4 linked regions of the Drosophila melanogaster genome follow. The protein of the gene in region 1 interacts with the protein of each later gene in a pairwise test. Each region holds a gene or a part of one and is shown in the gene's direction. Other genes may lie near its edges. The genes, in order: CG13731, CG42565, CG13511 and CG7173.

Region 1 (10,081 bases):
AACAAGTTGTCTATGCGATTGCTAACAATTATTCACTCGCATCGCAAACATTTTACATTTTGCCAAATCATATTCATAAATTTACGGTCGGTATTTCTGTTTTGAATTCTTCTAACTGTACTTTTTATTGTTTGAACAAAGGCGAGCGACAACTTGTTGAAAGAATTAATTAGGTCTTTCTGGCCGATCCGAATCAAATTAAGGTGAATGTTTCACAGATCAGTGGTCGATAAGTCAGGCTTTATTTATTTGCATTCAGCCCATCTAGATATGGTTAAAAGACTTAATCGATATTCGAATACATTTTGTCAGCCTGATTAATTGAGTCAATGAATGAAATATGTCTTTTATTCAAGGGCGAAATAACCCGAATATAGTTCAGTTTAATACGTAATTGTCGTCTATTTCGTTGTATATACATACTTAAGAGTATTATTATAGAAGGATTTAAGGACTCAATTATATTTTAATCAAGACTTTCCAACTCTCTAATTTAAAGATATTTTGGACTTGGGTTTCAGGAACTTCTAAAAATTGGTAAAAATTTTTCCTACTAAGAACTTTCCATTTCAAAGTTGCTGTGTTGTAAAATCCAGTTCGAACCTTTTATAAAACCTTTGGTAATTCCACTTCCTAGACCAGAACTCGAATCCAAATTTCAAACTGAGCACAAAAAAGCGAAACAATGTGGCAAACTAGTTAGTCGGGTTGGGCGTCTGTTTAGCTGGCGGATTTACATAAGTATAAATCTTAAGCAGAAAACAATATAGTCCGCCTTGAGTGAAGCCATGTAGAAGTTACCAGAGATTCGCGTTATGTATTGGGACAAATTTGCATAAATCATAAGCACAATTAACAATCTTTCGGTGCTCCCTTCTCTGCCAACCGCTGACGCAGGTGACGTGACATTTGACTCGGAAATTTATATGATTCTCTCCAAGACAAGATCCGCGAAATTTGAATATCCACGCACTCTGAGACGCTTCTTTATCCATTCAAAGATGCGTGAATCTTCTGGGTGGGTAGAGAGTCATCGGCCTTCTTATAAATATTCAGTGGCGACATCTTCTTCTCGGTTTTCTATTCTTCGGCGAACACTTTTTATTAGCCGATTTGCGGTTGAGTTTTTCGAGTTGCTGGCCAAGAGACTTGATTTCAATTTTAATGGCCGGTGCGTGAGGGTATTTAATTTGCTCTAGGATTAGATAAGTAATATTAATTGTCTACCTGAATGGGTACACGTCTTTAAAAACAAGCGTCGAGGCATTTAAGAATACAATTAATCTACTCAGCAGTTTCAACATGATTTATATAATATTTAATTGTGTTACAAAAAATTTGCATCTGCAGAATATGGTTCTTTGTGACGATTTTTTTTTTTGTATTTACCAGAAAAAGAGTGTAGTTAGTTTTATGATTTAAGATTTGTTTATCTCGCTTCTCGTTTTGTTTTTGATGACTAAAAATCCCATTTATACAAAATAATGTTCGGAAATAGCGCCAAGACAAGATCTCCATTCTGATAAAACATAATGAAAAACTAGATATTATGATTTCCGCGCCCGAAGACAAAGGCTCATAACAATTCACATACGAGCTCTGAAACTTCCCTAGATTAACAAATATATTTTTAAATTATCCAAATAGCAACCTGTCTAGAATGCGGTTTAGAACAGGCTCAAGCGACGGTCTTGTTTGATTCGAAAACCGCTAACGTCCTTCAGTGGAGTCCAAAATTTGAGGCAGCAAATTATCAGACACTCGGTATGGAAGTTGAATAATCGTCTGTTGCAATGTCGGATGAGGTGACAAAAAAAGGCTTTTCCTCTAGCCGGCAGTCAAGAAGCATTCGATGAGCCAAAAACTAAAAAAGAAAAAAATAATAAAAACAATTCAGTCGCTTCAGTTATCCGCAATGACAAATTTGAAATGTCAGCAGTCGCCGCCAAGTGTCATTGCCTTTGTGAAGATGTGCGAAGCAAGTTATGACCCGAATAAGTTAGCCAGCAATTATGTAATAAAAGACAAGAATTAATGTGGCTCTAAGTGGCGTCTGATGGCCGCAGGGGTGACTTCCGTTCGGCTGCACTTCCTCTGGGTGTTGTTCCGCCGTTTTATCTAGACCCTGACTACCCAGTGACCACGCACCTTTGGGCCGAAAGAGTTCAAAGTCACATCTATTTTGGGCCCGCTCATGACTGCGCGTGGCCAGTGGGTGTCACTCTGATTGGTTCATTAAAATCAAGACGTGACTGCTTGCGAATAAATAAATTCTAGTTATTAAACTGGCGAAATGCAGGCGATGACAAATGCCGAAACCCGTTTGGGAGTCGCTCGAAGAATGCAGCACTGAACACCGATCACCGATCACCGATCATCGAGATCTTCGAGTGTGCGTTTAAAGGTCACTCGGCTGACACGGAGTCAGAGATGAGCTGAGCCGAGCTGAGCCTACCTTAACATTCAACTCCGGCTGCCATCTGCTGACCCCCGGGCACACGCATTTTTGGCCAAGTCAACCGGTTCATGTTCAATTGGCCGACTCCAACTCCAACATCGACTCGCAACTCCAACTGCATTTAGGCCTGATCCGAGGGGTAAGTGCCATTAGCCAACGCCTGATCTTCTCGGCCTTATTTGCCTTGGCAAGCTTCGTTGGGAGCCTTGACTTGGCTCTCGATCGTCGAGCCAGCTTCGGCTTGTCTCATCGATTGATGAAATTCGGTGGCTCGGACCCATTTACCAAATTAAATGCTGCACGACAACGTGTTTAACACTCGCCGCAGACTTCTGCCAAAAGTACGAGCATATTTGCCAGCCATCGGAGTTGGCTAAATAGAAATGCCAACAAGAGCAGGCGTTGGTGGATGGATGGTCGGATGGCCGGATGGTGCGTCTGGCTTAGTTGCTCTTCTGCCATAATTGCTGGGCCTTAATTTGGCTGCCTTTTTGTCTTAGCCATGTTATCTGGCTGTTAACTCACAAACATCAAACAACCGAGACTGGTTGGCTTTCTGGTCAGCATTCAGCTGTCGGCGTCGCTGTCGACGAAGGCTGAGGCATCAGCAGCGGCAGAGACTTCGTATTCGGCTCATCTTCATCTGGCCAAAACGCTTTCGATTTCGGCTTTTGGCCGTGTGTTAACAGCTGTCGCCCAGGTGAAGATGCCTCTGCCGACGCCGCTGCCCAAGTGGGCAGATGCTGGGTCCGAGTATATATAGAAAATCTACAAGTTTTGATGCTTTAGTTGGTATTCCACACTCGACCTAGAAGTTAAACCAACTTAGCTTGGCATCGATCAAATTCAATCGTCCATTGAATTTGATACGATCGGTCGCGTCTTCTCCTTTCCGATCCTCACAGTACCGTCCGCAAGGATTATTCACGCACACCGCCTAGGATTACCTACGCACCCGGGATTACCGCAACTGCCGTTTGTAGCAGTCCGAAAGTGTACACCATGGTAACCGAACCCAGTTCCAATCCAATCTAAACCAAAACGAACAATGATCGTGTGCAAAGTGCAAAATAACGAAACAAGTGTCCCTCGGTGTGAAGACAAACAAGACAGACATTTCGCAAAGGAAAAGCAGTGCAGATGAAGATAAAAAGTATCAGTTTTGTTGGTCCAAAATATTTAGGGAGTTTCCACGTTTTATAGTTTGGGCTTGTGACAGTACAGAAAATAATTGAACGAATACGAATTTTCAATGATATTTGTATTCAAACTTTAATTTTAAATTAAAACATTTCTTGTGTTAAAATAATGTGTCAGCTATTTAGCGCTAGATCTTCAGAAATTTATTAATCCGAACTTGTATAAAAGGATACTAAAAAAGCATGTTCTACAATTTTATAGGGATACAATCATAAAAAAGGGTTATAAGATAAGATAGGGCCTTTAAGTTCATTCAAAATCATTCCGATTTTTCTCTGTGCATACCCAAGCATCGCAAACAAGAAGAAATAGCAAATAAATTGCCAACACCGACTGCAGTTCCAATTCAATCGCCATCTATTTGCATTTCACATTTTGTCGAGGGTCCAGCTCTGGACCCGGGCTATCATCGCGAGTTAAGAGTTGACCAGATGGCGGTTGACATTTAAGCCATGTAGAAATTGAGCAAGTGGCATCGAGTGCAATGTTACGCATACGCCGTGTTGGCCGCCCACAGAGCAAATCGCCTTGGCGCGATCCGCAATTTGCGTATTAAGTCATTAGGATGGACCAGCTGCATGTGCATTCTGCCATGTGGCGGCAGTTTCTATGTCAGCATTGACATGGCTGAAGATGAAATTAAAACTTGTTTTTTTTTCCATAATTTTCGCTTTTGCTTCTGACATTTGCTAGTCGCAATTTGCGATTGGCGTATTTAGGTAAATAGCCATAAAAACGTTGCCTTAAGTTAGATTCTTGACGTTGCCATTGAATAGACGTCCATTAATCACCATCATTGTTGCCAAAGAAGATTTCATTTGTTAAAGGGCCGACTGATCTTTTCCCCAGACTTTAATTCACCCAAATCTCTCACAGTTTCGGAAAAATAAAGTTGCCCCAAAAGTCTTGGCATTGGGGCTCTGCCCTCGAGGCGGTGTGAATCAGATTAATTAGCTGCCAATTAGCTCACTGAACAGTCGAGGGAATCGGTTTGCCCCTGCAAATATCTCTCCAAGTCCTTTCACTTTCTAACCTTTAAGCACCACCCGCCATAAGTCAAACCCGATTTGGTTCTCGATATCCTCAGCTCAATTGTGGCTGATATTTAAAACAAGTTAGAACAGCAAAAATTTTAGGTTCATTAGCATAAATTATTTAAAATCATTTACATACAAAGATCAAATATTTTTGAAATTAGCAAACAATCAGAAACCAACAAAAAAAATAAATGAAACTGGACCCAGTCGATTTTGGAGGTATGGCTTAAAATCTAACAGATTTGGTTATAAATGACAACCGGGGCTTACTATTCTTCGCATGCCAGATGCGTATGCTAATTTTGCGTTTTCTCACTAGTTTTATGGCCAGTCTTTGCTGATTATTATATAATCATGGCTAGAACTGGTCTGGAGTTTGGGGCCCGGATCCGGGCCGGTTTCTTTCATAATCGGCTATTTTTATAGCCCCCGAAAATTCTCCGTCAGCCAATTAATTGAGCTCATCGACACTGGCCATCTGCGGCCATCGACGAGCACTTTCATTAACTAACAATGACCTTGCCGAAACTCCAGCGACAAATGCAAATAAACCCGCTGACAGCATCGTCGGAAGCCATAATTCAGGGGCTACTTCCTCGGATCCCCATTGAGCTTCGGATCTGTTGTGTCGCTCCGCATTTGCATGGGCATTATGTATCAATCGCGTCAATCTGCGATATTTACATACATAGCTCCGGGGGAGGGGACTGACCTAGAGATGCTAATGCCCGTCAAAGTTGAATGTCTGCGTTAGCATTTCGGGTGATTTTCAATGCATTATGGTAAATCGATTCGCCAGCTTGGCTGTTTGTTGGCTGAACTTTACCACAGTTTTGAACTGCAGGCCAGCGGAGTTGCCTTGCCTCCTCCGACCCCGACCAAGTTGCCACGAAGCGTGAATAGGCGATTAGCCTAGAAGGCGATCAATTAGTCGCAATCAGGTTGTTAGAGCCAGTCGTTAGTCTGAGCACCTCTGTACGGCGACACCATCGAAGTCCATCAATATGTAGCATCACTAATCAGGCTGTGTTTTTCGTTCCTTCCCCACAGAGAAGTGCACTGTTCGTCTTGGCGCTTTGCGTTGTGGCTGTGGCCACCGCATCGGCCGATAACCATGAGGTAAGTGCGGAAATCTGACGATTCCCTGCCAACAGGAACTTACAAGCCACTTTTTACAGCGCAAGACTCGTGCCGCCGAGGGATACTTCTACCCCCCTCCCGATGTTCCATTCGATCTGCCCGTCCGCACCACACAGCCGCCAACAAGGCCGCCAACGCGCCCTCCTACTAGGCCACCCACCAGGCCACCCACCAGGCCTCCCACGCCACCACCAACCTACCTGCCGCCCACCAACAAGCCACTGCCACCAGTGACCACCCGTCTTCCTCCACCACCACCACCACCAAGGACTCCTCCCCCAACGAGGCCCCCAACTAGGCCACCAACCACTCGTCCTCCGGCAACCTACCTGCCACCCACCAACAAGCCACTGCCACCAGTGACCACCCGTCTGCCTCCTCCACCACCATCACCAAGGACTCCTCCACCAACGAGGCCGCCAACTAGGCCACCAACCACTCGTCCTCCAGCAACCTATCTGCCACCCACCAACAAGCCACTGCCACCAGTGACCACCCGCCTGCCTCCTCCACCACCACCACCAAGGACTCCTCCACCAACGAGGCCCCCAACTAAGCCACCAACCACTCGTCCTCCAGCAACCTACTTGCCACCCACCAACAAGCCACCGCCACCAGTGACCACTCGTCGTCCAACACCACCACCAACGAGGCCACCACCACCACCGACCCGTGCATCGACTCCAGCTCCTACCTACCTGCCTCCCACCAACAAACCACTGCCACCAGTCACCGTGCGCACCACTGTTCGCACCACTCCTCGTCCAACTCCTCCTCCTACCAAGCCACCAACTCGCCCACCAACCACTTATCTGCCACCCCCAACTGTGCGCACCACCCGCCCTCCTCCACCACCCACTCGGCCACCAACTAAGCCACCAACCACTTACTTGCCTCCCGTTACCGTGCGCACCACCCGTGCCACCCCCCCACCAACTCGCCCACCAACCCGGCCACCAACCTACCCACCGACCACTCGTCGTCTGACCACTCCGGCTCCTACTTACTTGCCACCCACCAACAAGCCTCTGCCACCGGTCACCGTTCGCACCACCGTTCGTACCACTCCTCGTCCAACTTTGCCTCCTACCAAGCCACCAACTCGCCCACCAACCACTTACCTGCCACCCCCAACTGTGCGCACCACCCGCCCTCCTCCACCACCCACTCGTCCACCAACTAAGCCACCAACCACTTACTTGCCTCCCGTTACCGTGCGCACCACCCGTGCCACCCCACCACCAACTCGTCCCCCAACTCGCCCCCCAACCCCTCCTCCAACTAGGCCACCACCACCACCAACCCGTGCATCGACTCCAGCTCCTACCTACCTGCCTCCCACCAACAAACCACTGCCACCAGTCACCGTGCGCACAACTGTTCGTACCACTCCTCGTCCAACTTTGCCTCCTACCAAGCCACCAACTCGCCCACCAACCACTTACTTGCCACCCCCAAGTGTGCGCACCACCCGCCCTCCTCCACCACCCACTCGTCCACCAACTAAGCCACCAACCACTTACTTGCCTCCCGTTACCGTGCGCACCACCCGTGCCACCCCACCACCAACTCGCCCACCAACCCGGCCACCAACCTACCCACCCACCACTCGTCGTTTAACAACCCCGGCTCCTACTTACCTGCCACCCACCAACAAGCCTCTGCCACCGGTCACCGTTCGCACCACCGTTCGTACCACTCCTCGGCCAACTCTGCCTCCTACCAAGCCACCAACTCGCCCACCAACCACTTACCTGCCACCCCCAACTGTGCGCACCACCCGCCCTCCTCCACCACCCACTCGGCCACCAACTAAGCCACCAACCACTTACTTGCCTCCCGTTACCGTGCGCACCACCCGTGCCACCCCACCACCAACTCGCCCACCAACCCGGCCACCAACCTACCCACCCACCACTCGTCGTTTGACAACCCCGGCTCCTACTTACCTGCCACCCACCAACAAGCCTCTGCCACCGGTCACCGTTCGCACCACCGTTCGTACCACTCCTCGGCCAACTCTTCCACCCACGAGGCCCCCAACTAAGCCACCAACCACCTACCTGCCTCCCCCAACTGTGCGCACCACCCGCCCTCCTCCACCACCCACTCGGCCACCAACTAAGCCACCAACCACCTACCTGCCCCCCGTCACTGTTGTGCGCACCACCCGACCTCCTCCACCACCCACTCGTAGGACCACCGTGTACGTGCCACCACCAACAGTGCGCACCACCGTGTACGTGCCACCCCCTACGCAGCGCACCACAGTCTACGTCCCACCCGCACCCACCAAGCACCAGGGCTACCAGTACCCCGTGCCCAGCATCCCCTTCAACTTCTAGATCTAGAGATCCAGATGTGATTAGGGATAGGGCCATCGTCTAGGGCTAGATTGATCTAGTCAATTCTCGTACAGTCTAACTTTACACGATCCGGCGCCAGCGGTGCTAGAGGGCGCCACTGGTGCGCCTGCAAGGACGACATTTGTTTGTTTTTATTTTATTTTTGTAATTAATGAATCGCATACTCATACAGCTAGGGATCATTGTAAATGAGTGCCCCAATTGTACAGCTAACAGTCTATCCAACTCTTGCTATGTTCTATCACTATTCTACAATCGATGGGCGGCCGTCGTCTGTGACGGACGCCAGCTCAAGACTATATAGCTCTATATTACGATTAAATAAACTTTTAATTCGGATCGCTGAAACCTGAACAATAAAATAAGTTTTTCGAATATTTACAAGCATTTTTTTCATCTGTTTTTGGGAAGCGGAAATTACATGCGGTCCTGTTATGTTATGTGCGATGTTTGAAACCCAAACAATAATAACATATTTTCTTTTTCACTCCTAACCGGGAAATGGGATCAAGCCATGTCCGGGAGATTTTGTGGTCTGGTTGGTCTCGTGGGTTCCTCCTCTTTTGGGAGTTATCTTAAAAGTCGGTTTTAACGACTATGCAAAGGAGATCGTTGCTTGCAAGTCATAAAGCGCCCAAAGTGCAGGTTAGGCAGTTAACCTTGACCTCCACTTCTGGTCTCTACTAATTTAAGTTATGGATGTGAAACACGTTAGCTTAGTTAATAGGTTTGAAAAGTTCGTATGAGTAGGTATTTAAATACATGTATGTTTACTATGAGCGATGTATATTTTCATGAAATATGAAATAATTTAACCTTAGGTTATAATTAAATGTCAAATTTGAGATATAGTTAAAATGTGATTTGAACTTATGACTTTTAAAATATTGAATCGATTTTTTTAATATAATTATTGATTATCACTAAATGTTATCATTTCCCTTTTTAAAAAGTATTTCACTTATATACAAAATTAGAGCTATGGCTAGTCAGCTCCTTCGTGAGTGCATAACCACTTCGGTTTCATCACGCCCCGAAGATATTTCTAGTTACTTCGCAGCTATCTTCAGATTTTCATGGTCAATGCGTTTTTTAATATCTCTTTCTTTTCCACTTGCCTGGGAGCACGAATTCGCCTGAGCAATTAATTTATTTATCTGTCTGTAGCTTGCTGTTTTGCTTTCGCAGCCAAACTCTATTAAACTTTCTAATTAAGCTGTTGCACTTGGGCCGATATAACCGACGCTTTTTAGGCGCCGCCAGCTCCCAGTTGCAATCAGTCATCGTTGCGATCCGCGATGAGGCAGAAGCTCAGGCCCACATTCATCAAGCGATAGGCAAGCCGAGTGGTTCGAGCAGCAGATCCCGGAAAGATGTTCATGCAGTCGGCAGTCGGTCAAGGACAACGGGACACTCGAACGCGACTGGATCCTTGCTGGACTAAAGGCAGGCGGTGGATTATGGGCCTGATCCTGGTGTACACAATAGTGAGTTGAGGATTCGAACCTCTTATACAAAAGGGTTTTTTTTTTATTACGCAGTACAGTGTAATTGGACAATTTTTGTTTGTTGTTTACATATTTTGAGTAACAATTACGCGAAAATCTAGACATGAGGAAAGGGGGCCGTAATTGTACATCTCCCAATTATCTCTTATCTTTGATTTCATTTTGTGTGTACCCGCAGATGTCTCTCATGGTAGTGAAGGTCGCCTCCGCAGCCACTCTTTATCAGCAGCACCAGCAGCAGCAATCTCTGAACGACATTGAGTCCTCAGCAGACGAGCCATCCCAGGCCACCACGGAGATCGAGCCCTCGGACAGCGACAGCGACATCGAGAAGATGCGGGCCAAGCTGCAGCAACTGCAGCACGAGCAGCA
Region 2 (5,975 bases), on another chromosome or scaffold:
CCGCACCTGGTAGCTGCTGGGTCCGATGCTGAAGAATCGCACCTGGGGTTTGCTAGGGCGCTCCTCCAGCGTGACAGTGGTGGCCGCCGACTGGCTATCCCTGTCCCCCTCCTGGAGATCCACCTCCAGATCCGCATCCAAGTCGTTTCCCCGAGACATTGCGACTGGCCGGCGTCAAGTGCTAAACATTTTGGCGAATCCCGAGGCAGTGAAATTCGAAAAAGAGATCTATCTGACCAAAGAGATCTAATTGAAGAGAAACCACTGAGAGAATCATGCAGCAATCAACAATTTTTTGGCACTCGGCTCTTCAGTCTCAGCAGCGCTCATCACTCGCCGCAAGGTCAACAAAAAGTGCTTAAAAACTAAACAAAACAAACAATTATAAGCGGAGCACCCACTCCGTTTGCCCCAACCCACGACCCCCATCCCTTCATCTCACTGTCTTTTCCATGCCCCCAAGAGGTAACCACACTTGCCGCAGATGACCTTGCAATCGTTGGTGGAGCGCCTCGGGCAGCAGGGATAGATGGGCAGCAGGGCAAAGCAGCTGGAAATGGATAAGGAAATAATCTGAATTAGAAATATAAATACTTCCGATCTTTGTTATTATCCTAATAGCCCTATACTACGATTAAATAATCTTATTTATATTCCATCCTAAGAATTTACTTTAAAGAAATGTCCTGGCCTTGCACTCACCACATGGTAAGGAGTCGCTCCAGGCGGACTCCCTGCTCGTGCAATCGCTCGTGGCACTCCGGACAGTACATCTGGCGGAGGCAACTAATGTTGGTGGCAGCGGGCGGCGGAGGTGATACCTTCTCGGCCAGTTGGCCTGTGGAGTTGCTCTTCCGGCAGAAGTAGGTATCCGGCTCGGAGTCCTCGGCATAGCCGTAGGGATAGCCTCTGTGTGGGGGCGTGGCCAGGAGCAGCTGGTCCAAGGCCTGAGCCGACTTCTGCTTGACCTGGCCGCAGTTGGGGTTCAGGTTAATCTCCACCAGATCCGCTGCGAACTCCTCGTCGTCGGGAGCTTGAAGGTGGAACTTTAGCTGACGGCTCATGTTGTTGAACTGACTCGACTCGGGTTTTCTATTTGCCTATAAATTGGGTTATTTTACAATTGAAACATAAGAAACATAAGTCAAACAGCTATCGCTTGGCGAGGGGGATTTATTATTATATTTTTTGGGCTGAGGGGGGAGTTAGACAAACCAGTTGTTCATCTGTTTGTCAAGCCCCCGTATTTGCCTAACACTATTTTCATGGTTGCGATGTTAACGGCTGCACTTGAACGTAGATCCCATGAGGAAAGCTTCCACAAAGCTGCCGGCGAGTGGGTGGTAAATGGAGCTTTTTCTATAAAAAATATACACAGTTATCTTAACCCATTGAAGATCGAAGTCTGTTTTTATTTTGACTTGAATAATTAAGACATTTCATAAGGTTTTTCAGGAAATAGTATCAAGCACGGAAAATATATATATTATTTTTAATCACAAATTAAGCAAGTTACACATTAATATCCAATATCCAATAAATAATTAAAAAAAATAAAGGCTTCACAAATGGAATGATGATGCTTCAACTGGCAAAGAATCATATCTACATATGTACATATATATAAACCGGTCACGCATTTGGTAAATTACAAAAATATTATATTATGGCGAGAGCACTCGAGTCGACAACCTGTGTTTGTTTATACTCTCTCCTCGCAAAATACACGTACTAAATGTTACATATGTATATTTTGGCCTTATTCATTGCCTTTATATGCAATAAAGGTGTTATCAAACAAGTGACTCATCTGTCGCCTATTCGGAGGAGAAGCATCGCTGTAGCTCACTAAATCAAGTGCACAATAAAAGAGGTATCCGATTATTAGTTCGACAGAAACCCCACTTGTATGGTAGCTATCACCTCTCGACGATAAGATAGTAGCCAATCGTTGAGGTATTGCGGGAGCCACAGTTTAAGTTCGTTCCTCAGTGCAACGCCAGCCAGCAAAGCGATCGGTTCAGTTCGGCCGGAAATCCAGAGTCTGCATCAAGAAGAAACATAATCCGAAACTATGGACAGCAAGCAGCCTCCACCGTACAGTGAACAGTCCGGATACACTCCCGCACAAACCTATCAGCCCGGTGGCCCCACCCAGCCACCACTGTACCCACCGATGCCGCAGCCACCGCAGTCCTCAACGGTGATCATCCAGACCACCACAACCTCCAACCTGGTGCCCATCGGCAGTGGACCCACCCGCATCCGCTGTCCCTCCTGTCACGCCGAAGTACTGACCACCGTGAAGTCCACTCCTTCCGGCAGGACGCACTGCTGGGCCCTCATCCTGTGCCTGTTCATGTGAGTCTTATAGTCACTAGTCATCTGATCTGAAGTCACTGCTTGCCACCATATGTATGTATGTATGTTGATTGGTCTCAGGAGCTTTGGGCCAACGAAAGTATCTTAGGGGGGACTTAGTGCTTCATTAATCCAGTCAAATGACCTTTTTATAAAATTGCGCAAAATGGAGTAAACCATTTTTAAAAGCAATACAAATCGGATATGTTGCCTATTAAATTCAGTAATATACATAGATGATATGATATCCTATAGATGATATCCTAACAATCTAGATATGTTTTCGTATCGCCCAAGCAGAAATGTTCTATAACCATTTTATTGCCAACTCGTTACAATAGCTCGGTTAAATGTTAAAAAGCTACGCCCATGAACCACTTGCGGCCCCTTATCGCTTGGAAAAAACAATAGGTTTCTACAGGTATTGCGACTGTGTGTACTGGTAATATGTGAAAACATTGTTATCTCAACTGGAACTGGAGTTGAGTCAGATAACGAATCCGAGTGGAAAGACGGGGTGAAAGCAAGCAAACTGACTGATTACGGCCTGTAGACGTCGTAAAGGCCAATTCGGAATTAGTGCTCTGACTAATAGTTTAATTCCCCGAACTTATCTAATCGATTCGTTTTCCACTCTATCCACACAGCTGCTGGCCGTGCGTATGCCTACCTTACTGCATGGACTCCTGCCAGAATGCCAACCACTACTGCCCCAACTGCAGCGCCTACATCGGCACCTACGAGAACTAACTAACTAACGCCTATTTATGCATACAAACGTATATACCTATAGAGAACCCTAAGCACTAGCGTCATAACCGAGAAAAATTGAACTGTAAATACACATGTACGAACGCCACACATTAAACTCATGAGACTCACACAGGAAACAGAAATGCGACAAGATATCTTGGGACAAGGCACTCTTTCCGCTAAATGGATTATGAAGTAATTTAATATTTTCAGAAATGTCTATGATAATGTTGACATTATTTAGTATTTTCCACTACATTTTGTACTGGTACTAAACAATTTCGATCGATCATTACGAGAAACCAACGCCAACATTTTAATGACCATTTTAAAACAATCTTTTTACTTTTTACTATCGCTTAAAAACCGTAATCAGTAAAATGGATCATAAATATCATAAATAGCTAAGACTATATCAATTGTTGTCTAGGAAACATAAACCCTTCTGGCACCTACTCAAGCCAACAACTGGAAATGGCCAAATGGCACAGAGCTACTGGAACCGAATGTCAATCGATTAGGTACTGCACTGGCCGACTCCTCTTGTACCCCTCCATATCGTCATAGTCATAGTAGGTTTCACCTAAAAAGTACTTGTCGATTAGTCAGAAAAGATAACGATTGCGATAGAGCAATGTTGTCATTAAATGGCGGGCTATTTCAGTGCATGCCCCGCCGCAAACATGAGCAGCACATGGATGGGCAGAGCTCCAGAACCGGCCGACACGGAAATGGTGACCGTAACCACGCAGCCAAACTATGGGGTGGTGGTGACCCAGATACCCGTCTACACCCTGAACGGAGTGGGGCCGGGCGCACATCCACTGGCTGTGGGCTGCAAGCCGATGAGGGTGAGGTGTCCGTCCTGCAGGGGCGAGGTCACCACCAGTCTGGCCACGTCCCCCACCCGCAAGACCCACATGTGCGCTCTGACCTTGTATATCTGCTGGTGAGTGGGGCGTCAGGATACCACCGGGCTTACTAACTTTGCTAACCTGATTCTCCAGCTGCTGGCCCTTCATCTGCCTTCCCTACTTCATCAACTACTGCAAGAGTGTCCAGCACTACTGTCCCAACTGTGGATGCCACATTGGGAGCTATAGCATTTGATCAAGTGCTGTGTCTCCGCACTGCCAAAAATGCCTTCCATGTCAAGACTTAATCAAGATTAGCCATATATGTATACAGATACATAAAATAATAACGTTTTAAATTTAAGTTCTTTTTGTTAATGACGGATGGTTTCTACTACTCTCACTGCACATATGAAGTAATCTTTTCTGGTCCATAATTTCCTCACCTAGTGTGCCAGTAGATAGATTTTATATTCGTATTAGGATAAATACCCAGAATATGAGGAAAGCGAATCAATTGAATACCGATACCGATAAGGCAGTTCTGAGTTTAATGAAACTGTCATCGATATACATATACGGAAGCTTTCAGTATTATATCAGTGCTCGTTCGCAGCTGTAAGCAACTGGTTGATATTTTTAGTGTGATTTGAAGAGTATAGAAAAGCATGCGTTGCTACAAGCGCGTAGACTCCCCGCCGCCCTACTCGGATCCATTCGCCACCGCTCCTCCAGCGGAGGACGTCATGCAGCAGAACCTGGCGTCGCCCGCACATCCCAATCCGGTGATACCCGTGATGGCCCAAACCATGCCGGTGTTGCAGCCCGTAAGCGTGATGCATCACCAGACGACAGTGCTGGTGGACAATACCCGCCAGGGAACGATCTGTCCCCACTGCAACGCTCGGATTCGCCTTCGCGTGGAGCACCATCCTACCGGATCAACTTACTGTATGGCGGCGTTGCTCTGCCTATTCCTGTAAGTAGATCGCATTTATGGTTGCAAGTATAGCAACAAAGGTTTGTACATACATAATGTGTATGTAAGCAAACGGAAAAAGAAATGTTTTTACTAGTCTGCTATATCTGTGGCCGCAATTGTTTTGCTTCTTCCTGGACAAGCTATGAGAAATTGCTGATCGTGCCTTATAAGCTATATACTCTATTTCCCATCTCTATCCACCAGATGCTGGCCCTGCGTCTGCGCCCCTTGCTGCTGCAACTGTTGCTACAAGACCTCCCAGTACTGTCCCAACTGCAACTCCTGCTTGGGTTCGTTTTGAAGACGCAGCGAAAACACTCGCCGATTTCATATCATTTCATTTTATATATATGTATATATATATACATAACCAACTATACATACATATATGTATGTATGTTCATATCTCCTTATGTATCGACGGCGTCAATGTGGTGTCTTCATCACTTAACATACATAAAAATATGTTTGCTTAGTGAGCAAAATAAGCTGACAGCGAAAAAATAAACAAATAGATTTTGAAGCGAATGGAATTTTCTTTAATTTCTGTTTCTGGGTATCTGGCTACATTGTTGCTGCAGACAACTAGATTTGCAGAAAAAATAATGTGAAACTTAATTGTTCATACGTTTTTTTTTTTTGTTTTTGTGTACTTTTTGGCGGTCTTTTCCCGAAACTTTTTCGTAGCACAACTCTTTTGTGTCCAGCAATAAATGTTGATATGAAACTGTTTTGAACCGGTAAAATGTTGCTGGGACGAACCGGCATGTTGGCACAGTTTAAATTGATGCTAAGATGCTTCAAGATTACTGTTCATGCTATTAAATGAAATCACTGAAGTTCTTTGCATTATAATTGAATATTTAGTAAAATATTTGAATTTCTGCTAAATGTTTAGTTCTTAAGAAATGGAATAAAAGGATTTTAATTTAACTCAGCCTAGGGATACGCTGTAATCAATTTTAAGGATGTATATAAATATCACTTCCCAGTTAGGCAACATAATGTTGCTAACGGAAATACTT
Region 3 (8,199 bases), on another chromosome or scaffold:
CAGTGAAATTCGAAAAAGAGATCTATCTGACCAAAGAGATCTAATTGAAGAGAAACCACTGAGAGAATCATGCAGCAATCAACAATTTTTTGGCACTCGGCTCTTCAGTCTCAGCAGCGCTCATCACTCGCCGCAAGGTCAACAAAAAGTGCTTAAAAACTAAACAAAACAAACAATTATAAGCGGAGCACCCACTCCGTTTGCCCCAACCCACGACCCCCATCCCTTCATCTCACTGTCTTTTCCATGCCCCCAAGAGGTAACCACACTTGCCGCAGATGACCTTGCAATCGTTGGTGGAGCGCCTCGGGCAGCAGGGATAGATGGGCAGCAGGGCAAAGCAGCTGGAAATGGATAAGGAAATAATCTGAATTAGAAATATAAATACTTCCGATCTTTGTTATTATCCTAATAGCCCTATACTACGATTAAATAATCTTATTTATATTCCATCCTAAGAATTTACTTTAAAGAAATGTCCTGGCCTTGCACTCACCACATGGTAAGGAGTCGCTCCAGGCGGACTCCCTGCTCGTGCAATCGCTCGTGGCACTCCGGACAGTACATCTGGCGGAGGCAACTAATGTTGGTGGCAGCGGGCGGCGGAGGTGATACCTTCTCGGCCAGTTGGCCTGTGGAGTTGCTCTTCCGGCAGAAGTAGGTATCCGGCTCGGAGTCCTCGGCATAGCCGTAGGGATAGCCTCTGTGTGGGGGCGTGGCCAGGAGCAGCTGGTCCAAGGCCTGAGCCGACTTCTGCTTGACCTGGCCGCAGTTGGGGTTCAGGTTAATCTCCACCAGATCCGCTGCGAACTCCTCGTCGTCGGGAGCTTGAAGGTGGAACTTTAGCTGACGGCTCATGTTGTTGAACTGACTCGACTCGGGTTTTCTATTTGCCTATAAATTGGGTTATTTTACAATTGAAACATAAGAAACATAAGTCAAACAGCTATCGCTTGGCGAGGGGGATTTATTATTATATTTTTTGGGCTGAGGGGGGAGTTAGACAAACCAGTTGTTCATCTGTTTGTCAAGCCCCCGTATTTGCCTAACACTATTTTCATGGTTGCGATGTTAACGGCTGCACTTGAACGTAGATCCCATGAGGAAAGCTTCCACAAAGCTGCCGGCGAGTGGGTGGTAAATGGAGCTTTTTCTATAAAAAATATACACAGTTATCTTAACCCATTGAAGATCGAAGTCTGTTTTTATTTTGACTTGAATAATTAAGACATTTCATAAGGTTTTTCAGGAAATAGTATCAAGCACGGAAAATATATATATTATTTTTAATCACAAATTAAGCAAGTTACACATTAATATCCAATATCCAATAAATAATTAAAAAAAATAAAGGCTTCACAAATGGAATGATGATGCTTCAACTGGCAAAGAATCATATCTACATATGTACATATATATAAACCGGTCACGCATTTGGTAAATTACAAAAATATTATATTATGGCGAGAGCACTCGAGTCGACAACCTGTGTTTGTTTATACTCTCTCCTCGCAAAATACACGTACTAAATGTTACATATGTATATTTTGGCCTTATTCATTGCCTTTATATGCAATAAAGGTGTTATCAAACAAGTGACTCATCTGTCGCCTATTCGGAGGAGAAGCATCGCTGTAGCTCACTAAATCAAGTGCACAATAAAAGAGGTATCCGATTATTAGTTCGACAGAAACCCCACTTGTATGGTAGCTATCACCTCTCGACGATAAGATAGTAGCCAATCGTTGAGGTATTGCGGGAGCCACAGTTTAAGTTCGTTCCTCAGTGCAACGCCAGCCAGCAAAGCGATCGGTTCAGTTCGGCCGGAAATCCAGAGTCTGCATCAAGAAGAAACATAATCCGAAACTATGGACAGCAAGCAGCCTCCACCGTACAGTGAACAGTCCGGATACACTCCCGCACAAACCTATCAGCCCGGTGGCCCCACCCAGCCACCACTGTACCCACCGATGCCGCAGCCACCGCAGTCCTCAACGGTGATCATCCAGACCACCACAACCTCCAACCTGGTGCCCATCGGCAGTGGACCCACCCGCATCCGCTGTCCCTCCTGTCACGCCGAAGTACTGACCACCGTGAAGTCCACTCCTTCCGGCAGGACGCACTGCTGGGCCCTCATCCTGTGCCTGTTCATGTGAGTCTTATAGTCACTAGTCATCTGATCTGAAGTCACTGCTTGCCACCATATGTATGTATGTATGTTGATTGGTCTCAGGAGCTTTGGGCCAACGAAAGTATCTTAGGGGGGACTTAGTGCTTCATTAATCCAGTCAAATGACCTTTTTATAAAATTGCGCAAAATGGAGTAAACCATTTTTAAAAGCAATACAAATCGGATATGTTGCCTATTAAATTCAGTAATATACATAGATGATATGATATCCTATAGATGATATCCTAACAATCTAGATATGTTTTCGTATCGCCCAAGCAGAAATGTTCTATAACCATTTTATTGCCAACTCGTTACAATAGCTCGGTTAAATGTTAAAAAGCTACGCCCATGAACCACTTGCGGCCCCTTATCGCTTGGAAAAAACAATAGGTTTCTACAGGTATTGCGACTGTGTGTACTGGTAATATGTGAAAACATTGTTATCTCAACTGGAACTGGAGTTGAGTCAGATAACGAATCCGAGTGGAAAGACGGGGTGAAAGCAAGCAAACTGACTGATTACGGCCTGTAGACGTCGTAAAGGCCAATTCGGAATTAGTGCTCTGACTAATAGTTTAATTCCCCGAACTTATCTAATCGATTCGTTTTCCACTCTATCCACACAGCTGCTGGCCGTGCGTATGCCTACCTTACTGCATGGACTCCTGCCAGAATGCCAACCACTACTGCCCCAACTGCAGCGCCTACATCGGCACCTACGAGAACTAACTAACTAACGCCTATTTATGCATACAAACGTATATACCTATAGAGAACCCTAAGCACTAGCGTCATAACCGAGAAAAATTGAACTGTAAATACACATGTACGAACGCCACACATTAAACTCATGAGACTCACACAGGAAACAGAAATGCGACAAGATATCTTGGGACAAGGCACTCTTTCCGCTAAATGGATTATGAAGTAATTTAATATTTTCAGAAATGTCTATGATAATGTTGACATTATTTAGTATTTTCCACTACATTTTGTACTGGTACTAAACAATTTCGATCGATCATTACGAGAAACCAACGCCAACATTTTAATGACCATTTTAAAACAATCTTTTTACTTTTTACTATCGCTTAAAAACCGTAATCAGTAAAATGGATCATAAATATCATAAATAGCTAAGACTATATCAATTGTTGTCTAGGAAACATAAACCCTTCTGGCACCTACTCAAGCCAACAACTGGAAATGGCCAAATGGCACAGAGCTACTGGAACCGAATGTCAATCGATTAGGTACTGCACTGGCCGACTCCTCTTGTACCCCTCCATATCGTCATAGTCATAGTAGGTTTCACCTAAAAAGTACTTGTCGATTAGTCAGAAAAGATAACGATTGCGATAGAGCAATGTTGTCATTAAATGGCGGGCTATTTCAGTGCATGCCCCGCCGCAAACATGAGCAGCACATGGATGGGCAGAGCTCCAGAACCGGCCGACACGGAAATGGTGACCGTAACCACGCAGCCAAACTATGGGGTGGTGGTGACCCAGATACCCGTCTACACCCTGAACGGAGTGGGGCCGGGCGCACATCCACTGGCTGTGGGCTGCAAGCCGATGAGGGTGAGGTGTCCGTCCTGCAGGGGCGAGGTCACCACCAGTCTGGCCACGTCCCCCACCCGCAAGACCCACATGTGCGCTCTGACCTTGTATATCTGCTGGTGAGTGGGGCGTCAGGATACCACCGGGCTTACTAACTTTGCTAACCTGATTCTCCAGCTGCTGGCCCTTCATCTGCCTTCCCTACTTCATCAACTACTGCAAGAGTGTCCAGCACTACTGTCCCAACTGTGGATGCCACATTGGGAGCTATAGCATTTGATCAAGTGCTGTGTCTCCGCACTGCCAAAAATGCCTTCCATGTCAAGACTTAATCAAGATTAGCCATATATGTATACAGATACATAAAATAATAACGTTTTAAATTTAAGTTCTTTTTGTTAATGACGGATGGTTTCTACTACTCTCACTGCACATATGAAGTAATCTTTTCTGGTCCATAATTTCCTCACCTAGTGTGCCAGTAGATAGATTTTATATTCGTATTAGGATAAATACCCAGAATATGAGGAAAGCGAATCAATTGAATACCGATACCGATAAGGCAGTTCTGAGTTTAATGAAACTGTCATCGATATACATATACGGAAGCTTTCAGTATTATATCAGTGCTCGTTCGCAGCTGTAAGCAACTGGTTGATATTTTTAGTGTGATTTGAAGAGTATAGAAAAGCATGCGTTGCTACAAGCGCGTAGACTCCCCGCCGCCCTACTCGGATCCATTCGCCACCGCTCCTCCAGCGGAGGACGTCATGCAGCAGAACCTGGCGTCGCCCGCACATCCCAATCCGGTGATACCCGTGATGGCCCAAACCATGCCGGTGTTGCAGCCCGTAAGCGTGATGCATCACCAGACGACAGTGCTGGTGGACAATACCCGCCAGGGAACGATCTGTCCCCACTGCAACGCTCGGATTCGCCTTCGCGTGGAGCACCATCCTACCGGATCAACTTACTGTATGGCGGCGTTGCTCTGCCTATTCCTGTAAGTAGATCGCATTTATGGTTGCAAGTATAGCAACAAAGGTTTGTACATACATAATGTGTATGTAAGCAAACGGAAAAAGAAATGTTTTTACTAGTCTGCTATATCTGTGGCCGCAATTGTTTTGCTTCTTCCTGGACAAGCTATGAGAAATTGCTGATCGTGCCTTATAAGCTATATACTCTATTTCCCATCTCTATCCACCAGATGCTGGCCCTGCGTCTGCGCCCCTTGCTGCTGCAACTGTTGCTACAAGACCTCCCAGTACTGTCCCAACTGCAACTCCTGCTTGGGTTCGTTTTGAAGACGCAGCGAAAACACTCGCCGATTTCATATCATTTCATTTTATATATATGTATATATATATACATAACCAACTATACATACATATATGTATGTATGTTCATATCTCCTTATGTATCGACGGCGTCAATGTGGTGTCTTCATCACTTAACATACATAAAAATATGTTTGCTTAGTGAGCAAAATAAGCTGACAGCGAAAAAATAAACAAATAGATTTTGAAGCGAATGGAATTTTCTTTAATTTCTGTTTCTGGGTATCTGGCTACATTGTTGCTGCAGACAACTAGATTTGCAGAAAAAATAATGTGAAACTTAATTGTTCATACGTTTTTTTTTTTTGTTTTTGTGTACTTTTTGGCGGTCTTTTCCCGAAACTTTTTCGTAGCACAACTCTTTTGTGTCCAGCAATAAATGTTGATATGAAACTGTTTTGAACCGGTAAAATGTTGCTGGGACGAACCGGCATGTTGGCACAGTTTAAATTGATGCTAAGATGCTTCAAGATTACTGTTCATGCTATTAAATGAAATCACTGAAGTTCTTTGCATTATAATTGAATATTTAGTAAAATATTTGAATTTCTGCTAAATGTTTAGTTCTTAAGAAATGGAATAAAAGGATTTTAATTTAACTCAGCCTAGGGATACGCTGTAATCAATTTTAAGGATGTATATAAATATCACTTCCCAGTTAGGCAACATAATGTTGCTAACGGAAATACTTTTGGAAGTGTAGTGTCCCGCTTCGCGCCCTAAACTTCTGACCGCACAACACTTTCGCAGCCCAAACAGTGCGCATTAACTTTTTGTCTCTCTGTGAAATCGGAATTCTACTTTATTTATTTTGACAACGTACCCACCCATACAGATTGTAAGTATGACGGGAGAGATATATTATGCAAGCCTAGGATTGGGTCAAACATGAGCAACGGACTATTATAGTCAGGTCTAATTGGGTAATATCTGGTTGTTTAGATGTTTACCGCTGCTTTGCCGCTCCCCAAAAAATTTACTTTTGCTTGGGGGAGAACTCAGCAAAGACATACAGGACGACAGTAGGATTTCGGGGGGAATGTTAATCACTGGCGACGGACACACCCGCTGTTAAATAAGGATACTGTGCTGGGTGGTTTGCGCTAGTGAGAACATACATAAATAGATTGTGTTGATTTTGGATAGGACCAGACCGAGCAAGCAAGTTGCACCAAACGACGAGCAAAGATGATGGATGGAATCGGGGTTGAGCGGGGCTCAGACACACGCGGTTGTGCGATGACGGCGTCGGCACGAAGCTTGCCACATGGCACAAGAGATTCCGTGGCCCACGAGGATGACCTCACGGCGGCAGGAGGGATTGCGCAGCACCGTGGTGCCATCGACGGGAGATAAGGCGGATTACAGCTTGTTTTGCATGGCGGGTGTGCAATTAAAATCCCCATTAACCAGCCAATTTAATGCTCATGCACCAGCGGCACGCGACGTATTCAAGTTTTCAAGGTCTGCGCTGCAATCAATATGAGAGTTATTAGAGTTTCCTGTGCTTTCTTTCTGCAGCTCCGCCATCGAAATGTCCACTTCCGTTGGCCCGGAACCGTGCATCGTGGTCTGCCCCAGTTGCCGTCAACAGGTTACCACTCGTGTGGAGCCGAAAGCCACCACCAAGACTCACCTGATAGCATTGATTATGTGCCTTACCTTGTAAGCCATGTTCGATATTGATTTCTTAACATTCTGGGTGCATTCTCATTGAGTGATCTCTTTCGTGCAGCCTTTGGCCCTGCTTGCTGCCTGTACTGCACTCAATGCGCCCGGAACTCCGACCACCACTGTCCATCTTGCAACGCCTACATTGGCACCTACGAGCGCTGAGCAACTTCCGCCGGAAGTTGTTTTTTTTTTTTTGTCGTGGACTGCAGCCAGCAGCCGTGCCGAAATGCAGCCCCCATTACTTATCCCCACTTGATCTATTTTTAACTCTCTCACATTTATTACTACGCACTATTTTGATAACAAAACAAATCATTGTAGTGCCGGCATATGTATTCTTCAGCACACCAATAAAAGGGTTCAAGGAAGAAACGAGTGGATTTTACCTGGGGGTTGATTTGTTTTAGAGACAACGCAATTCTTGAGCAGAGTTGAGTATTTCTTATGTTTTCAATAAATATGCAAATTGTTGTTATATACGTGCTAATAGCATAGCTGGAAGGACCATTTCGGAAGGGTAAAAGCTACTGGTTTGTTTACCTGACAATGGAATACCCTACTAAGTGCTAACATTTCTGTTTTATTGGTAAGTTTTGATATTAATTAATTCATCATGGCTGAGCAATTTCTTACTAAAGCTTTTCATCCTGCAAAAAAAAAAGAACACTTACTCATGTAAAAGCCCTTATTCTGATAGCCACATAATATTTAACGGAAATCGCTTAGCAAGCCATCCGACATAGTAGGGCTATATAGAATTCGCATCGCGCCGCAACTCGAAAGTTCGCCGAGCAATGTTGGAGGAGCTCTCTGCGGTTTCAGTCGCTGTCGGCAATTCAAACGCGTAGCACACATCGGTCGGAATAATTAGAATGGAGAAGAACTTTCAATACGAGAATATGCAGCCTCAGGCTCCGGGTTTCCAGGCACCGCCCAGTTATGATAGCGCACCGCAGCAGGTCTATCCTCAGCTCCATCAGGGACAGGGAGTGATATTGCAGGGTGAGAATACAGAGAACTATGAATCAATCGGAAATAATGGTCAATTCTTCTGTGCAATTCAAACATAAAATATAATATCGCATATTATACGAAATCCAATCGTGCCTCTTTCAGCTCCACCCAATGTCCTGGGCCAATGTCCATCCGTTGCCACTTGTCCGAGCTGCGGCGTCCGCAGGGAGACGAAGGTGGAGTTCGAGCCCAGCACCAAGACCCACCTGTTGGCCCTACTCATCTGCATGCTGGGGTAAGTGCAGCCCGTTTGCTCCACCTGCCCGCAGGACTAATGGCCATTTTCAGGGGCATTTGCTGCTGCTGCATTCCGTACTGCACCGACTCCTGCCAGTCGGCCAAACACACCTGCACCAGCTGTGGAGCCTACGTGGGCACCTACAAGAACTAGAAGTGCTATCTCAACACCAAATATTACAGGGATAGATCCCAC
Region 4 (7,485 bases), 4.2 Mb from region 1:
CAACGGAAGTGTTTCTGTACTGGCATCAGTATCCGGATCTCTTCGGCATGCCATTCTGCAAAATACGCGCATTTATTTCAGAGGCGTTAGTATAACTACTTTTGACTACACGTTTAGCCATTTATAAACCCAGCTGTGTTTCAGATGCACCTATGTCTCCGTCTTTACCATCGTCGCATTTTCCATGGAGAGATTCCTGGCCATTTGCCATCCATTGCACCTGTATGCTATGGTTGGCTTCAAGCGCGCGATTCGGATAATAACAGCTCTTTGGATTGTTAGTTTTATAAGCGCCATTCCATTTGGACTGCTCTCGGATATTCAATACCTCAACTACCCATTAGGTATGAAACTATTTACATCATAAGTTCCCTAGCAGTACAAAAATGGTGCTTGGTGCTCGAGTCAGTAGTTGCTCAAATGAAGTAAATTGCTGAAACCTTATAAATCAATTGAAATGGACTTTAATTTTGCGAGCGACCTGAACTTCACCATCCAACAGCCATGAATGGTTGAAGTATATTCTTTGAATAATATCCAAATAACATGAACAGGTATAAATGGCATTCGTTGCGCTTTTCAGATCATTCCCGCATTGAGGAGTCGGCATTCTGTTCCATGTCGCCCAAGATTGTTAACGAAATTCCCGTGTTCGAAGTATCCTTTTGCATTTTCTTTGTCATTCCGATGATACTCATCATTTTGCTCTACGGACGAATGGGAGCCAAGATTCGATCTCGAACGAACCAAAAATTGGGCAAGTACCTGGCTTTTATTGACCCCAAAAGATCCGACTTCAGGGATGTATTCCAGGTGTTCAACAAGGCACCAACAACAGGGAAACGAGAAACTCCCAAATGAGAAAGAAGACGGTTATTCGCATGTTGGGTGAGCTTTTCCCAATCAATCCCAACAGAATCCATCAATAAAGTCCCCGTTTAATCAGTATAGCTGCTGTGGTGATTACGTTTTTCGTGTGCTGGTTCCCGTTCCACCTGCAAAGACTCATATTCCTGTATGCCAAGAACATGGATAACTATTTGGACATAAACGAGGCACTCTTCTCGATTGCGGGATTTGCGTACTACGTTTCATGGTAAATGAACCCAAATTCTATTAACTTATTTATCTGATTCAACTGGCTTGACAGCACCGTAAATCCAATAGTGTACAGTGTGATGTCACGTCGCTACAGGGTTGCGTTCAGGGAACTCCTCTGCGGAAAAGCCGTGGGCGCCTATTACAACAGCGGATTTGCGAGGGATCACTCCAGTTTCCGGGAAAGCTCCGCCTACGACCGCGTTCATTCTGTAAGTTATTAAGTTATTGAAAGCACATTTTAATCCAACCTAACCTAATTTGGTTATTCTATCTCAAATTACCCCATAGGTTCACGTCAGAGCCAGCCAGCATCCAAATAAGTTCGAAACGGACTCCTCATCTGCAAATAGGGTGCTGATAAAGAAAACCTACAGCCTCCCGCTACCAAAAGTAATTAAACAGACCAAAATCATAAATACTCATTGAAGTATAGCATAGTGTCCTAGAGTATGATATAGTAGTAAATTAGCATAAATTTAGTTATTACAGATGCGCAGATTCTTTTGAACTGGAAATCCCAGAGTTATTTCCAAACTTTTCTGTGTCGCCGGACTCTCGGAACTCAAAGATACCTGGGCGAATAAATCAAATTAAAAAGTTATTTCACTCTGCGTCAATTTGTGTATCCTTGTAATTCCCAATGCTGAAGTTGCTTAGTATTCCGGCTCCATCCCCGCTTAACTTGATTTCGCTTTGTTTACACAAATACCCATGGGAACATAACTTTTCCTTACATTGCCTGTTGAGCGAATTAAAGTGCTCGTATGTGATTGTTTGAGTTTGTGAAATAGTAAAATACAGGGCGAATAAATACTACATTACTTTTCACCTGCTTGTATTCCACGTGTGTATATTAACTTTGGACCTTGCACTTCCAGAATGCGGACTCCACGGTCCTGAGCACCACGGACATTGTCATCGTGCTGGAAAACAGCCACACAGTTTGCGAGGAGCCCAAAGTTGAGAACGATATTTGGATCGAGAACGAGGAGACTTGTATTTAAGCACGAGGCCATTTCAACATTTGTAGTTTAAGCCAAGGACGTCGAGAACAACCTTTTGTAGAACTAATTTAAGAGCTAAGAATTGCGTATTGGGAATTTAGTGATATGACTGGGAGTCTGTCTAAATTCAAATGTGCCCCCGCACAAAGGAGATTTATTTATTTCTACAACATCTCATAATATTACTAAATAAACCAACTGAGTTTTATTGCTACCGAGTTGTTTTTTTTTAATTGTGTTAGGTCCTTATAAATATTTATTTATACATAAAAAGGTAATCAGTTCCATTTTCACAAACTTACTGGCCACAAAAGAATCTGAGATATTTGAAACTTTATGGAATAACAGGGCTTTTATGAATGAATACATTAACGAACGATTACAGTTTCGAGCGATTTGCATAACAATGATCCAAATTATCGTTTTCATGGCTTGTTCTCTCGAAAAAGCAGTGCCAAATTGACGACAAAAGCGAAAGTTGTACCCATTATCCCAGTATCTATAATTAAAAACATTTTCACTTTTACATGAGGTAAATAACCCTGCATTCACAAGTCTCAGACATCCAGCCATCTGGCATTCTGTATAAGCAAATTAATCTCTGATGTTTGAGGAACTCCGAACCAATTACGCATAGGTCTCCAAAAGATCTTATCTCCGATTTACTTTCACCAGCACTCAAGATAGCCAGATTAATGAGCATACCTGGCCAATGGTTCTGTCGCATCTGGAGCGATGTCACGGTGCCCCGAGGCTCGAGTGCTCCATCTTCGTGTCGCGATATGATCTCTCGGGGATCTCTCGGTGGACACCACATGCACATCCAAATCCAAAAACATCGACATCGACATCGACATCCACATCCACATCCACAGCAGCTCCTCTATGGCAGCAGAGGCAGCATCTCAAAACTGGTTTAGTGGCCATTCCGACACTCCGAATTCCAGCACAGCTAGTTCAGAAACGTTCCATTTGCCACTCAGTTGCTTTCCAACCGACGGCACCGCCGAAATTCAAGAAGAAAGTAATCGGATGGATGTGGATGCTCGAGACCCTCCATTGATTAACGGTGCTGCGGCGTTGGAACCACAGGCTCTAGAAAAAGTGCCCATCTTAAGCTGATATGGCGAACCAAGTCGGTTTTAAATAGATATACATAGATAGCTGCATCTGGGCCCAGAGACGAGGCCACCACATTGTATTTGGCTGCAGTGCCGCGAGGCGTTCCATTTTTATTTAAACGACTGGCCGGATAACAAAGAAAGTGAGATCAAGTCTGCGCGATCGTGGATCGTCGAATGGAAAAGAAGCTTCGCATGTGTGCGTGGTTAATTCGAAAGAAACTTTTTTGCTTTTGGCCGCGGAACTGACAAATGTCAAATACCAATAGACCGTCGTGGAACGAAGACGAGCTTTAAAAATGACTCAGAGTCCGCTTAAGTTGGCCCCCATTTTGGAGGCCCTAGTTCTGATAGTGGTCCTAATCAACCAAGTGCAGTGCGGTGAGAATGATATGAGACAAGCGCGCATAAGGCAGTTTCTGAGTGAGAACCAGCCCCTGGCCCAGCACCATATCAAGCACAATCGGCCGCCGGGTCCCGGACAACTGCCCCGGATAAGATCGCGATCGGATAACCTGGCCATGCTTTCTGGTGGCTCCAACAAGTTCTTGCGGTCGCCGCAACCTGCCACTGCGCAGCACATCATGCGTCGCGAGCAGTTCGGGAACTTTCCTGCGAACGACCAGCTCAGGAGGTACCAGTTCGACCAGAGTCAGCAGGGCAGATTCGCCCACGTAAAGGACACTCCGGTGCTAGATGTGGGCAAAAACCAGTTCCCACTCCAGTATGTCTCCGAGCAGTACATTCAGAACTTCAAGTCCTCGCCGCGCTTCAATGGCAATGTGATCATGAAGGACACCAAGCCAGTGTACGCACCCATCCAACAGCATGCGATTCCCGTCCAGGCCTCCCAGTACCTGCACTATCCCAAGCTCTTCGGACAGCAGGGATCTCCCAGTTTCAGTGTTGTCCCTACCCAGCAAACTGCTCTCCAAAACAGCCAGTTTCCCCAGGATCCAAATAGCTACTCTGTCTACGAGGATACCGATATACCTGCGAAGCAGGCGGTAAACTTTCGCCAGGCAGTGCCACCACCAAAGGAGTCCAGGGAGGCGCAGGACTACCTGCAATTCATGAGCACCAACGAGTACTTCCTGCCCAAGAGGGATCCTGACTTCAAGAAACTGGACGCCGAGCGGGACCAGCAGAAGCTGCTCCACCAATATCCACAGCAATACAGACAGCAGCAGCAGCAGCAACTGTATCAGCAACAACAGCAGCAGCATCAGCAACCGCAGCACCAGCAGCCGCAGCAGCAACAAGCGCTGCAGCAACATGTTCCCTACAAAACTGCTGGCCTAGACAACTCAGTCTCCTCCAGTTACAATGAGCCCATACAAGTGTCCGACTTGTTCTACCAGCAAGATCCCGCTCCTGCGAATTCCGCAGTGGTTCGCGGCAGTTACCAGGCAGGTCAGGATGTCTTCGTTGTCAAGTCCGACGGCAACAAAGCCGTTAAGCATGTGGTCTCTACTCCCATGGCGGTCCAGACCACCACTCAATCGCCGTCGAAGAGCCAGCACCTCGCCAAGACCCACAAGAGCTTTACCCCGGAGCCTCTGCGATTCGAGTTCACCGAGCAAGATGCCATAAGGGGATCGATGAAGTACACCCAAGCCCCGCAAGCCAATCAGTACTACTACGAAACCGTGGCCCAAGCTCCCCGCGAGCCCGCGAAATCTCCTGCCCCGAAGATTGAACTCAGCAAGCCCATTAAGGAATACACCGATGACCCAGAGGATAGTTCCGACACTGAAAGTGGAAAGCAGGTTGGTTCTGTTTCTCAATAAATGTGAAAACCGCAAGTAGCTTATATAAGCTAGCATATTTGTTGGCCAAAAAGTGGCCACAAAAACAAGCACTTCCAACCTTTAAGGCATTTTATAATGATTTTTACGCGATTTAGTGAGTACTTAATTTCGATCAAATCGTTTACGGGTTTAAAATAGTACTCTTCTTTGAAAAAATAAACTTAAAAAAATAGTTGATTCTATCAACTCAAGCTACAAAAATTATACGACTCATCAAATACCAGTAACAGTTTTTCCTAATAAGATCAAATTCTTTTTGCTGTGAATTTAGCTCTTACATTTTTAATTTTAAATTTGCCCATTTCAGCAAGATATTCCAAAGGTGCCCACTGTGACGAGTTCAGCTACTCCTGACGATCCAAAGGACACGGAAAACTACTGCGAGAAGATATGTGCTAATGTGTACGATGAAAACGATGAAATAATCTGTGGATCCGACGGATACATGTACACGGGCGAAACCCAACTGCAGTGCTATTCGTCATGCCTCAATATAAGTAAGAGTTTCATACCCAATATATGTATTGTCTGTATATATTTTAAACCAACATGTTCTATTCCAGGTGTGACGATTAAGAGTAAAGGATCTTGCTCTTAAACTAAAATAAAATAAAAAACTGTTTTAATTTAATTTATTCTAGCGATTACAAAATATGCAAATTTAGTGGAAATGGTAAAATGTAGGGTTTTGTAAAAAGTGATTTTGATTTGTTGTTCACGTATAAAAATATCGTGCACTTATAGCTTTCCTATTCATTAAAGTGATAACTTATAAACTATTAGTGCATGTATATTTAAGTTCTACAATATATTTGTATGTATCTCAAAAATCATTCAGAGAAGTTAGTTATAATAAATAAATTAACGAATTGCAAGAAAACATTATCGAAAATCATATTTATATATATAAAATAAGAGACTATCTGGGCTTTTTGCCTTAGGGGCAAAACAAAAGAGACAGGAGCATCTTCTTGCTGAATAAGGGAAACCTGTATAAGGGTTTGGAATTTATTAAGACTTTGTTAGGTGTGGTTTTTACAGCTGTAATCTGTTTGTAATCTGTTTCATTATGGCAGGCAAAATGAAATTTAAAAAAGTGGCTTAATGCTTAAAGGTTATACAGTATTCTTAACAATGTTATAACTCGTTCGAAGAGTAACGGTCTACTGTTCAAGTTAACAGAGGCCAGGTAACATCTCTGCTAATGCGTAACATATATATTAGGCAAGCTGGTAGCTTGGGTGGCATCACCGCCGATAACACTTGTGTAACAATATGCGCTATCGATAGATCACGAACACAAGTAAACCCAGTTGCTTTGTAAAATTTTTTGTGAAAGTAAAGGGAACTTCTGGCGAAATAACTTCAATTTTCCGCTGACTCTCGCACGCGTTCAATCCAATTGACCCCCCTTGTGGAGGTGACACTATCTCCCGAAAGACTTACCAATCCCCCGTGCCGTAATATGAAAGCTTGCTAGCTCGAATTGCCTTTGAACACCACAATCACAAATTGAAATCCTCGATGCGAACGATCCGACAGTCGCAGTGCGAGCCCTAGACCCCGTCCCGGTCGTAAATCCCCAACTCGAGCACGATCCCGTCGAGCGAAGGACTTCCGGAAGGAGCGGCGTGGAAACATGACATCATAGTCGCTGCATATGCTTCCTGTCCCGAATCAAATGTACATAAATATGTATGTATAGCCAGCGTACCGCACATACGCACATATCCCTCGCGACAGAACAGAACAGAGTAGAGTGGAACGGCAGAGCCAGTGACGAACGTAGTGCAATCGAAACTAGTGATTCATGGAAAGCGCACACCTCGGCCTCCTGGAGACGGCGCCACTACCTCCTCCACCCAGCTGTAAGCGATATTTCAGACGTCGGCACCAAGCAACGAACATAAGTGGGTGTGGGAATGGTCACCTTTCCCTGCTCCTGCCCCTGCCCATGTCTCTGCCCCAGTCCAAGCCAGTTCCTCCTGTCAATAGTGCCGGAATTTAACCTTTGCTCCATTCCTCCATGCCTTCATGTACTCATTCACCGCCTTGCCTCTCGCTTCAGATTAAACGTGGTGGTCTGCTGCTAAAAATCTTGCAAAATTGGACAAACCCTCTGCGACTTCGTACGACAACAAGAGGTCGTACCTGCGAACCGTGCTCGGAAGGGAAGCGCCATCAGCGAAGATGGTACTACCTCCTGCACCACGCAACCTCAAAGGTGAGTTGGAGTCATTGCCAAAACATTTAGGGAATATCTCTATTTATTTAAATATTGTTTTTATTTAAATCAGGGCACATAACAAAAAATGATTGAAGTAACAATCGTTGTTTCATATATGCCTAAATAACGTAAAAGCTGGTTTAAAATATCCTTGTATGTAGTGTGTTAAACTGACCAAGTATCCTACAAAGGATTTGTTTCCCTAGGATACTAATTTTTAA

What was found.
Region 2: the proteins of CG13731 (region 1) and CG42565 interact in a two-hybrid assay, tested with the Drosophila melanogaster proteins (one large-scale study listed by BioGRID).
Region 3: the proteins of CG13731 (region 1) and CG13511 interact in a two-hybrid assay, tested with the Drosophila melanogaster proteins (one large-scale study listed by BioGRID).
Region 4: the proteins of CG13731 (region 1) and CG7173 interact in a two-hybrid assay, tested with the Drosophila melanogaster proteins (one large-scale study listed by BioGRID).

What each region holds. Positions count from the first base shown.
Region 1 is NT_037436.4:17,382,127-17,392,207, reverse strand, and holds CG13731 (uncharacterized protein), read left to right. Parts: upstream 1-3,251; 5' UTR 3,252-3,460; coding exon 3,461-3,463; intron 3,464-5,745; coding exon 5,746-5,814; intron 5,815-5,873; coding exon 5,874-8,180; 3' UTR 8,181-8,572; downstream 8,573-10,081. Other genes in the region: CG13728 (uncharacterized protein), read left to right, coding at 9,575-9,688, 9,888-10,081.
Region 2 is NT_033778.4:22,655,915-22,661,889, forward strand, and holds CG42565 (uncharacterized protein), read left to right. Parts: upstream 1-1,986; 5' UTR 1,987-2,074; coding exon of another isoform or gene 2,075-2,361; intron 2,362-3,008; coding exon of another isoform or gene 3,009-3,111; 5' UTR 3,112-3,797; coding exon of another isoform or gene 3,798-4,063; intron 4,064-4,121; coding exon of another isoform or gene 4,122-4,224; 5' UTR 4,225-4,636; coding exon 4,637-4,947; intron 4,948-5,154; coding exon 5,155-5,251; 3' UTR 5,252-5,475; downstream 5,476-5,975. Other genes in the region: CG43326 (uncharacterized protein), read right to left, coding at 1-159; CG43325 (uncharacterized protein), read right to left, coding at 439-550, 703-1,064; CG13510 (uncharacterized protein), read left to right, coding at 2,075-2,361, 3,009-3,111; CG13511 (uncharacterized protein), read left to right, coding at 3,798-4,063, 4,122-4,224.
Region 3 is NT_033778.4:22,656,121-22,664,319, forward strand, and holds CG13511 (uncharacterized protein), read left to right. Parts: upstream 1-1,780; 5' UTR 1,781-1,868; coding exon of another isoform or gene 1,869-2,155; intron 2,156-2,802; coding exon of another isoform or gene 2,803-2,905; 5' UTR 2,906-3,591; coding exon 3,592-3,857; intron 3,858-3,915; coding exon 3,916-4,018; 3' UTR 4,019-4,430; coding exon of another isoform or gene 4,431-4,741; intron 4,742-4,948; coding exon of another isoform or gene 4,949-5,045; 3' UTR 5,046-5,269; downstream 5,270-8,199. Other genes in the region: CG43325 (uncharacterized protein), read right to left, coding at 233-344, 497-858; CG13510 (uncharacterized protein), read left to right, coding at 1,869-2,155, 2,803-2,905; CG42565 (uncharacterized protein), read left to right, coding at 4,431-4,741, 4,949-5,045; CG4250 (uncharacterized protein), read left to right, coding at 7,625-7,793, 7,869-8,001, 8,055-8,157.
Region 4 is NT_037436.4:21,553,801-21,561,285, reverse strand, and holds CG7173 (uncharacterized protein), read left to right. Parts: upstream 1-3,059; 5' UTR 3,060-3,525; coding exon 3,526-4,995; intron 4,996-5,344; coding exon 5,345-5,534; intron 5,535-5,600; coding exon 5,601-5,635; 3' UTR 5,636-5,913; downstream 5,914-7,485. Other genes in the region: CapaR (capability receptor), read left to right, coding at 1-85, 145-344, 584-757, 814-888, 952-1,096, 1,151-1,310, 1,390-1,491, 1,980-2,105.